Linked DNA regions of Schizosaccharomyces pombe. Each later gene encodes a partner of the first gene's protein in a complex. Each region holds a gene or a part of one and is shown in the gene's direction. Other genes may lie near its edges.

The links.
Region 2: dad2 (region 1) and dad3 share a complex: the UniProt entries of both Schizosaccharomyces pombe proteins name them as parts of the DASH complex.
Region 3: dad2 (region 1) and dam1 share a complex: the UniProt entries of both Schizosaccharomyces pombe proteins name them as parts of the DASH complex.

Annotation. Positions count from the first base shown.
Region 1 is NC_003424.3:2,784,659-2,788,208, reverse strand, and holds dad2 (DASH complex subunit Dad2), read left to right. Parts: upstream 1-1,916; 5' UTR 1,917-2,060; coding exon 2,061-2,196; exon of another isoform or gene 2,197-2,227; intron 2,228-2,524; coding exon 2,525-2,673; 3' UTR 2,674-3,050; downstream 3,051-3,550. Other genes in the region: dynein light chain Dlc1, read right to left, coding at 1-81, 131-139; porphobilinogen synthase Hem2, read left to right, coding at 3,279-3,550. UniProt on the Schizosaccharomyces pombe protein: Component of the DASH complex that connects microtubules with kinetochores and couples microtubule depolymerisation to chromosome movement; it is involved in retrieving kinetochores to the spindle poles before their re-orientation on the spindle in early mitosis and allows microtubule depolymerization to pull chromosomes apart and resist detachment during anaphase.
Region 2 is NC_003424.3:5,228,124-5,231,519, forward strand, and holds dad3 (DASH complex subunit Dad3), read left to right. Parts: upstream 1-1,675; 5' UTR 1,676-1,702; coding exon 1,703-1,780; intron 1,781-1,817; coding exon 1,818-2,000; 3' UTR 2,001-2,777; downstream 2,778-3,396. Other genes in the region: Smc5-6 complex SMC P-loop ATPase subunit Smc5, read right to left, coding at 1-1,294, 1,344-1,509, 1,578-1,630; mek1 (meiosis-specific serine/threonine protein kinase), read left to right, coding at 3,017-3,173, 3,214-3,396. UniProt on the Schizosaccharomyces pombe protein: Component of the DASH complex that connects microtubules with kinetochores and couples microtubule depolymerisation to chromosome movement; it is involved in retrieving kinetochores to the spindle poles before their re-orientation on the spindle in early mitosis and allows microtubule depolymerization to pull chromosomes apart and resist detachment during anaphase.
Region 3 is NC_003424.3:3,105,691-3,109,034, reverse strand, and holds dam1 (DASH complex subunit Dam1), read left to right. Parts: upstream 1-2,193; coding exon 2,194-2,661; 3' UTR 2,662-2,844; downstream 2,845-3,344. Other genes in the region: ubi5 (ubiquitin-40S ribosomal protein S31 fusion protein), read left to right, coding at 155-607; csr101 (sec14 family protein), read right to left, coding at 1,029-2,195; WD repeat-containing protein Atg1801, read left to right, coding at 3,127-3,164. UniProt on the Schizosaccharomyces pombe protein: Component of the DASH complex that connects microtubules with kinetochores and couples microtubule depolymerisation to chromosome movement; it is involved in retrieving kinetochores to the spindle poles before their re-orientation on the spindle in early mitosis and allows microtubule depolymerization to pull chromosomes apart and resist detachment during anaphase.

The DNA of each region.
Region 1 (3,550 bases):
GTCTCCGTCATATTCGGAAGCCTTCAAAACCGGCTGAGCAGCTTCTAGGCAAATTTCTTCAAGTTTTTTGGAATCTATAGGCTATTTTCATAATCAAATTAGTAAACGAATCGCGTATTTGACGACTTACACAGCTCATTTCGAAATGGGGTATTTTGATGAGTACAAGGAGGGTACGCAGTGAGATAAAGACACCCACAGCTAGTACGACGTTTAACGGTGACAACCCCATCGATACAAAGTTCAACGCGAACATAACTCACGTTAACATTTCTTTTTATTGTTGATTTCTTTTTGCTTTAAACCTGAAGTTAAGTAAGGATTTTTCGCTTACAGCGAATCGTCAACTTCACGTTGGGATGAATGAGATAATTCAAATAAAGCATCAAGTATTGCTTTAAAGGAAAACAGCGTTTATTTCTATTTCTTACATTCTTTAATTAATACCAATTTGAAAACAGTTGATGGTTGAAACATCGATAATTGATTTCGAAAGAAATGCATAATGATTTTGGAAACCATGTCTTCCTCTAACCGTAATAATTGTATCGAAAAAACTCATAATTACACATAATTACTGGTGTTTGGATTACCAAAAGACATTAATGTGTGCTTTACGCTTTTAACAATACTCTTAGCAAGTCCAGTTTCAGTAATGAATTGAGTGTGTTTCTTTGAAGACGGGCCGAAGGAAAAAACAACAATTTAAATTCTCTGAACTTAAAGTGTATAGAATCTGTTTTTAGTTATCGAAATGTTAATTCAGCATGAAGGGAAAGCGATTGTTTTGCTGTTCATAGAATCCAAGTATCAATGTAGCGAAATCATCCAAATCTTTAACTATTTGATCATTGAATAAAACTACAAGATAATTTATGTTTAGTATTCCTACCATTAGTTCTTTCAATAATTTTACAAAAATGGAGAAGATCTCATCGGTACTGCGATACATAAAGATGCTACTACCCAAAGATTTTAAATCAATGATCCTTTCAATCCCCTAACCCTTTTATCCTTTTCCTTTTTTTTCTTTCCTATAGATTATTTACTGACTTTTATTTACAGGGACATTCTGTGATATAACGGTATTATAACTTGTTTAATTGTTATATAAATGTAAACGTTATTGCCGAAAACCATGTATAAAGTGCGTTATTCTAAAACTGTATATAGAATATAATAACATACTGCGCGAAATTTAATTGTGAGATCGAACAATTCAGTAACTGAGTATTTGGAGTAATAGTGAATTTTTGCGAAGGAAAATACTCGATTACCATGTAAACAAGGGTTTGATGTATGTTAAAAAGTTGTTAATTAGAAATGGATAATAGCCACTCTATTATAATTTGTTCTAAAAAAGTTGGGTATTCTTTAACGACCCGTTGGAACCGATCATTGAAGAAACTTCAATAGTGGATGAGACATTTTATGAATTTTTAAATTAGTCAAATACGGTTCAAATTTTAGAAAACATACGTGGAAGTTGCATCCTGTCTAGAATAAAAAATTCATTTCCTTATGTATCGGAACGTTGACAATCTTGTTGACCAAAAGAATATACTATCGAACCCAAATCTTAAAAGTCTTTTAAGCCCATTATACCTTGTGTAAAAAAAAATAAAAATAAAAATAAAAGAAGAAATAGTAGAGAATATGCACAGTTTTGATCCTCTTTAAAACTTTAGAGGGATGAAGCAATGCATACTTACTTAGTAAAATATGGATATAATAAGCTAGCTAAACTTGACCCATTATTTGAGTAATTATATTCACTATTCAACATAGTTTCCTAAATTCATTATTACTTTAAATTAATGAACTAACTAATTTATTAAAGATGAAAACAAATGGTTAAAATTGAGTAAAATCAATCATTATATTTTTTGTTAGTCTCTATTATCAACCTCTTTATTAGTAATACATTCCGAGATATAAAATTCCAGAAACGGAAATTATTTGTTTTAAACGTATAATTACAAAACCGAAATCGCCTTATATGGTGTAGGAGATAAATCTAGTAAATTTCGTACCTTCTTCTACAAACATTTGGCGTGAACATGCTTCAAGCAAGGATTGAGGAAAAGCAAAAGGAATACGAACTAATATGCAAACTAAGAGATTCTTCTAATGATATGGTTCAACAAATAGAAACGCTTGCTGCTAAATTGGAAACTTTAACAGATGGAAGTGAAGGTATGTTCATTACGAGGAAAGTATATAAAAGAGCCTTGTCACCAATCTGTTTAAGTGCTATTCATGTGAACAAGTATAAATATCATTACATTGAGAAAAGCAAAGAAACAAGTGAATTGATTGGATCTGCAGGATTGCAAATAAAAGCAATCATTTGCCGACATGTCTCTAAATGAACTTCTACCTCTCAATAATTCACCTAAACGTAAAAAATATAATCTGTTTATTTATTTATTTTTTCTATTTTCACTACTACTCATACATGCTTGACGACTCTTTTTAATCCATTATAATAAATGTTTGACACTCAAATCACTAACAAAATCAGCTGTTGCTACTGTTCTCAATAATTGGCCCAGCATTTTTGAGTCAATACAGATAGCATCCCAACATTCAGGAGCTTTAGTCCGAATTCCTCCTTCTACTTCAAATACCAACGCATCTGCTACGGAGCAAGGCGATGTTGAAGAGGTATAAAGACTTAAATACTCTTTTTAATTTCTCACTGAAGTAGAAAAGGCCAAGAATTGGTTAAAATAAATATTATTGTTCTGTCCATTTATTCATATTGTTTCTTCTATTTCAGAATTGGTAAAGCCGACAGCAAACCCAAGTTCCAAGTATCTTCACTTCCTAATGAAATGGAGAATGAGATCACCTTGTAAACTAAATGATATCTAAATTTTTCATTTGGTCATTTTCTTTTGGCGTTCGTCCTGTTTCGCTTGTTTGAATACTCCCAGCATTCCCTTACGACAATTAATTTCTTCAAGGACAAACAATTTATTCAGGAGTGATACTATTGTTATGTAATCAACAAATATCGTGGTCCGATGCCCGATTTTTTAAAAAAAAGTTAAACTTATTTATCTTAACCTTCGCCAACCTCTCGCCATCTGCCACTTACCTTTTTAAAAATATTTCTTAGGAAATCTTGTTGATCTTCCGCTAGAACTTTTTTAAATAACCAATAAAAGGCGCTTTTGCTGGTCCATTAGTTCCATTTGTCACAAATCTGCTTTTTTTACGCAGTTTTACATCTTTAGGAAAAATCAAATAAATTTTGTCAGTTAGTATTTAATATGCCTGTTGATATCAGTTCTCTTTTGCATGCTGGGTATTCAAACCCGTTGCTTCGTGAATGGCAAGGTGTACGTCCCATTACCAAGTCATCTCTAATGTATCCTATCTTCATTTCCGAAATAGATGATGCTAAGGAAGCCATTGATAGCATGCCTAATCAATTTAGATGGGGTGTTAATAGATTGGAAGAGTTTTTGGGTCCTCTCGTCAAAAAAGGTCTTCGTAGTGTAATTCTGTTTGGTGTCATCGAGTCCAAAAAGGACTATTGTGG
Region 2 (3,396 bases), 2.4 Mb from region 1:
AAGTGATAAGATCCATTAACTTTAGATAATCATTATAATTTGACATTATAAATGTTCGAAACGTATCCGTGCGAAAAAACCCTTCTATCAAAGCTGCAAACCCTTTTTCCTTACATTTCAAATTCATATAAATTGGGCCGTATGCGGGTGCTTCAAACGCAGATTCGTATTCCTTCAATAACTGATACGTCTGATAAGCATCTTCCCAGCCTGGAGCAGAAGACATAAAGTCTAGTTTCCTTTTCGTAGCATCGTTGTAGTAGGACAACTCTCTTTTAATGTTATCAAGGTCAATAAGCTTTTGTGCTTTCAATGTTCTGATACTACCTAGTTCATGAGAGCTCTCAAGTTTCTCGTTTTCATGTTGAAGTTTTTCCGCATTAACTTCTTGCATCTTTTCTTGTAGATCTTGAACACCGTTATCCGAAGGTCTTGGGCCTTGTCTTTCTGTTAATGACTTCACCGATTGTTGTGCTTCATTTAATGTAAGATTTGCATTCCGTAAAAGTGTTCGATTGGTATTAACCTTCTCATAAAGCTTTTTCTCGTTCTCCATGAAATTCGAAAAAGAAGCTCTGGCTCTTAAATTTGAGGTATTAAGTTCCATCGAAGCGGAGGAGTAATCGTTAAATGTATCATCTTTTAGTTTTAAATCCGAACGCAGCTCTTCACCTTTATCCAAAATAGGTTGAAATTCTTCCACTAGGTCTTTCAAATCCTTTTTTAATTTTTTTTTGTCTGCACGAAGTTGGTTAAAGACATTGGTTTTCTCTCTGTATATAACTAACATTTTAGCTAACCCTAGCATTTCGATGTATGATTTGATTTTTTCCCGTTCTTTAAATATATTGACTTCCTTCTCTAGTGCCTGTTGTCTATCTTTTAATGAATTTAATGTTGATTGTCCTTGGTTTTTATTTTGTAAAATTTCCCTTTCTCGTTTTCGTAAATCAATAAGCTTCTCATGTGCGGGAAGTAACCCTTCATGGTCAATTGCACGCTCAGTTTCCATCAGTCTAGAATAAGGATCAAGCTGAGCGAATTCTGCAACACGGTCTTGTGGTAAAAAATGACAAAGATTATTCAATTGTACATTGAAAGTATCCATTAGAGACGTTATTGAAGAAGTGGCACATGCTTCCCTATTAATAGAGAAAGAACTACTCTTATCCTGGCTTATTTGTCTCGTGATAGTAACCGTTTCATCGTCACGATACTTCATTTCAATTTCTATGGTTGCAGTGTTTTTGCCATACTTTATAAATTCACGGGCCTCTTTAGCTCTCCCAAGTAGCTAAATCGTTAATCAATTAAGTTATTTTTTATAATATTGAAAGACTTACTTTTGGGGGCCATCCCAGCCCAATGCATATTGCTGAAACAATTGTGCTCTTACCTGTCCCATTTGGACCGATAATCAAATTTAGATATGGACCAGGGAACAGTTCACAATAATCGTATGTAACAAAGTTCACTAATTTAATTCGTACAATACTTCCTAACGCGTAACTCTCGCGTGTTAAGATCATCGAAGTATAAAAAGCAGAAATACTAAATAGAAAAAAGCTATAACTTACTCTGAATACAAAGGATTACTTTTTCTTCGTTTCGAAGGCCTAAGGCCATCCATGGTGGAAGTAAGGAGGATTTCAGTCAACTAGGAGTTTGCTGAGAGCAAAGTGCTTATGCAAGGCAAGGTACAATGAGTTTAGAGGAAAAAAGAGCTCTCCAGAATCAAATTTTAGCTGAATATGCTAATCTTGCATCAAATTTAGAAACAGTAAGTCTTTTTTATTCAGCAGTTGGTTAATATTTAGCTTGTTAAGGTGTTACAGGACATGGTTTATAATCCCAGCAACAATATTCTGGACTCGCTAAGGGATTTAGAAAAGGAGGTTGGACTTGTATATACTCTTTACAAAGCTAGTGTTTGGGCGATTTTGGCAGACCTAGAAAATAACCAAGAAGGTAAAAGCGGCATGTTTCAAGATGAAAGTTGATAACGTGCTTGTTTGAAATTGAAAATACGTCAAACCGAACTATAAATTAAGCTTTAACTCTACTGTTGGTGCTTTTCGTGTGGTTTACTATGAATATTTGGAACTGAATATTTACCGGATAATTTTTCAATCACTTTTACAGAGAAAAAAATACATCCTACTTGGAAGAGTAAAAACAGGCACAAGATATAAGCTTATGAAGGTTTTTAAAAAGCACTTTTCGGCTAAAATGTCCAAGAAACGAATATGGGTATTGTTTTTAAAAAGTTGGTTAGATCACTTTTAATCAATTATCCAAAACAACCCTTTGGAAGTAGTCCGGCCTTAAATATTTCTAAACTATTACCCCGGAAACACTGACCTAATGAATCTTCCGATTAATTGCCTGTTAACATTTTATTAGATCATGCTGGATTCGAAAGTGTTTTCAAGCTTTCCTAAAAGCGTTATGAAAATGGGGTTGCATGAGAATCTGCAATGTTGTAAGCTGTTGATTTCTTAATCAAATAATAAGTTTCCTTCCTTGTTTTTTTCTAACCGTAATGGTTATTCATACTCAAATTTCTTCGTTATGAAGAGCAACTTACAATTGGGACTCGTTTTTGTCCTCGGATCATTAAAGTGAATACAGCGAGAAATTTTCTTCTGCTTGCATTTGACTAAAAATCATTTAAATGCCAGCAACTCTCTTCGAGATTGAAATCCAAAGTTTCTTCTGTTTGTACTAATATGGATTCTCATAATTTACTATATTTGATAAGCAATGAGGTTCATATTTTATTAATATACTTAATAGTGTCAAGCCCAATCCTTCAAAATATTGGCAAGTGTATGTTTTGGCATTACCAAATGACTTTGGTTTATAGTGGTATAACGTAATAATAATGGGTATTGTCTTTATACCGTTATAGACACTGCTTTTACGTTTTGATAGGCGCGTCTTACAAAGTATATATATATTTATTGCTTACGCGCATCACCGTTTTGCAAAGTGTATATAAAAAAAAGCAAGAACTATGGACTTTTTATCACATGCCATGCTTAGTCGATCTGAATCAACGCAAATTCTTTGTGAATTGAGTCAAATAGACGAAAGTACTATGGATCCTCAATATACTGAAGATGATGTTCTCGCTCGATTGTTTGTTTTTTCATCATCTTCTCCACAAACAGGTGTGTTCTCTTGTTTCAATTGATTTTTGACATATATTAGTACTGAATGTTAAGAAATATGAAGACGTTTCTGTTGGAAGGAGTAATACATGCAATTATCAGCTTCTGCAATTCACTGCCAGTTATAAGCACTTTAGAGTGTATTCGGTGCTAATCGATGATGATATGGATCCCCTTGTTTATTGTGAAGATCAGAGCTCTAATGGAACATTCTTAAATCATC
Region 3 (3,344 bases), 320 kb from region 1:
AAAATTTGACCGCTAAATTAGAATATTGAATTCTCGCTCGGCTTCTTATTCTTAAAATTTTAGAGTCATACCTTACCAAGTACAGCAGTAGTAAGCAGTCACAACTTAACAAAAGAAATATGAATTTCGAAAAACATTTCTAAGCACAACCAAAATGCAAATTTTCGTCAAAACCCTTACGGGTAAGACGATTACCCTTGAGGTGGAGTCCTCTGACACTATTGATAATGTCAAGAGCAAAATCCAAGACAAAGAAGGAATTCCTCCTGATCAACAACGTCTTATTTTCGCTGGTAAGCAGTTAGAAGATGGACGTACTTTGTCTGATTACAACATCCAAAAGGAGTCCACTCTTCACCTCGTTTTGCGTCTTCGTGGTGGTGGTAAGAAGCGTAAAAAGAAGACTTACACTACTCCCAAGAAGATCAAGCACAAGCACAAGAAGGTTGAGCTCGCCGTCCTCAAGTACTACAAGGTTGAGGATGATGGAAGCGTTAAGCGTCTTCGTCGTGAGTGTCCTAACTGTGGTGCATCCACCTTCATGGCCAACCACAAGGACCGCCTTTACTGTGGTAGATGCCACTTGACCCTCAAATTGGAAGCTTAAATGAGTTTGCGATAAAATAAATTAACACTTTTTTAAGTGATATTTTGTAATATATCTATATTGCTCATTGTAATGTGCTATATTGAATTGAAAATACTTATATTGTAAATGGTTATGAAAACATTTCATTTGTATTATATTTCTAGTAGTCCCATGATGATTTTTTTAAATAAATAATCTAAACATAAGCCAAACTAAACAAGCAAGCTACGGTTGAATGATTGGTGGAATTTTCAACAGTTTTTATATGCGCAAACGCGATTATTGAAAACGCCATTGAGGAATCATGAGTATTTCGAGGACATTAGATCTAAACTCAAGTTTTTAGTAAAAGGTAGTAAATATAGGAAGATGCATTCTTTTATTAATAAAAGAATAAAAAGAATTGAGTCGTAAAACATAGCGTTTAGATTGAGTAAATTTAAACATTACCAATCCATTTCAGTCGGTCGTAAACGGTTCTCGCTCGTATATATTTGTCAACATTCCAATAGCAGTTGGCAAAGTTGGTACCTGCAGCATCGCAGCATAAGCGGACTTTTTCATTTTGAGCATCATCATCATCTAGCTTGGCCCAATTTAAAGAGTGCTGCTCCCATTCACTGAAATACGCATAATAGCGAGCAAGTGCTGCAGTCTTTTCAGCGCTATCTTCGATGACTGCATCATTCTCATGCTCTACTGGCTCTATGTATTGGAATATCTTTTTGTTGCCTCCTCCTAAAGAAGTAGGAATTACCGAATAGTCTATGTATTTTTCGAGGTCGTTTGCGCTCTGAGTAAAAACAATTTTCGCAGCAATCTCTGGTTTAATCCATCCCTTAATAATGTTCCAAACACTTCTGAAAATCCAAGGAGATTTATGAAGAATACAAACACCAAGAGATTGTGGGTAATAATACTCCAAACACGATGCCAAATACTTAACGAAAGAATAATCCATATTATGTAGAGAAAAGTTACTAAGGTCGAACAGAACATTCACATTTTGAGGAGAGTCCATAGAGTCCTTCAAAGTCTTTTGTGGTCGCAGAAAAAGTCGCATAGTTTCCATTACCCACACGGTCATCTCACGAAGAGAATTCTGAGTCAATTTTGAGGGTTGATGTAAATGGACTTGAATATAGCAGATAGGGCGATCAGATAAGTCCCTTCCCAACATAGTTACCTTTCCAGTTCTCAATTGTTCCAAGAACTGATCATCATTTGTCTCTTTGGCATAAAGCTCACCCCGCTCAACGATACGCTCAACACCTGTATCTACGCGCCATTGTAGCGTATTGATTAACTTTTGACTTGCTTCATGTGAATCGTTATTGCAAGAAGCCAAAAATCGTACTAAGATAGCGTCGGGTGAGTCGCATTTTGCTAATCGTATGAACGATTCGCGATATTCTTTATGCTCTTGAAACCTAGGCCATGTCTTTTGAATCATCAACTTTAAAGGTGAATAACTTTCAAAGCTCACTTTTTCGTCTACAGTCTCAGGCTCAGGCTGTTTTTGAGAACGTCGGAAGAAAAATGTTCCTGCTGCTGCTGCCGAAAGCGCTGTAGAACATCTACATCTCACCCAAAGTCGCGAAAACATGGAGAAATACCAGAAAGCTACTCAAAATCCTTTAGAAAATGTTGATAATGTGAAAATAGAAAGTGAGAATGCAATCCCTTCGAATCTCCAAGCCTTTACTAAGTCACTGGCTGTTTTGGATGATAATGTGAGTGAATTTCGTAAACGAATGAATCACCTGTCAGCAACCAAACAAATACTCGACAATTTCAACGAATCGTTTTCTTCTTTTCTTTATGGATTGCAAATCAATGCTTTTTGCGTAGATTATGAAAATGCACCGCTTTCGGAAAGTTTTTTACTCCAAGCTAAGAAAGACCAATTTAAGGCAACGCTGATGACTCGTACTGGTCATTCGATTTCTGACCCTCCCTACGATGGTGGTGTTATTTCTCACGATCCCAATTTTGCAACTGCAGACGAAACATTTGCTACAAATGACACTTCTTTCATTGAACGGCCAGAAACCTATTCCGCTTCCAGATAAATTTATTTAAGCAAGGGAGACTGGTTGAAGTTTTTTCTTTTTCATTTATTATTATAATAGTCGAAGGGAATAACCTAGCATATCAGGTTGGATAATGAAACAACGGAATCATAATGATCATTCAATTTTACGATTTATATACAATTTTTAACATTTTAATGCACATTTTTCTTCAGCGAAGTGAACTGTAGACAATTGCTTTAAAAGTTCTAGAAAGCGTTCAGTAAACTCATATGTAATAGCTTCTCCAATCTTCAATTTCCAATAAAATGAATATGTATTTGTAGTCTATTTTCGATACTCACATTTACAACTTCAGTGGCTCTTTCAATACCTCAAATATGTAACACTAATTGAACCTATTTGAAGTGTCGAAATTTGTTCACATTCTATATTTGTAATTTTAAACATTGGAGCAATTACACTTGTTTTCAAGTATACAACTAGTTTTCGTTTTACTTCAAAATGCATTTCTTTGTTCGGAAGTACCGCGGCAAAGCAGCGTATGTAAGTGTATAGCCGCGGGTCATTCCACTTGTCTCAAGCCAGTCATTAGAACAATATACGTATCGGCCAATTGTGCTGAAAATGGTATCGAATATGTCTCGCTTACTATTTTGTGGATTTAACCAGGATTCAAAGTACTTATTTTATTGTTTTTGATATCAACATCACTAATACTT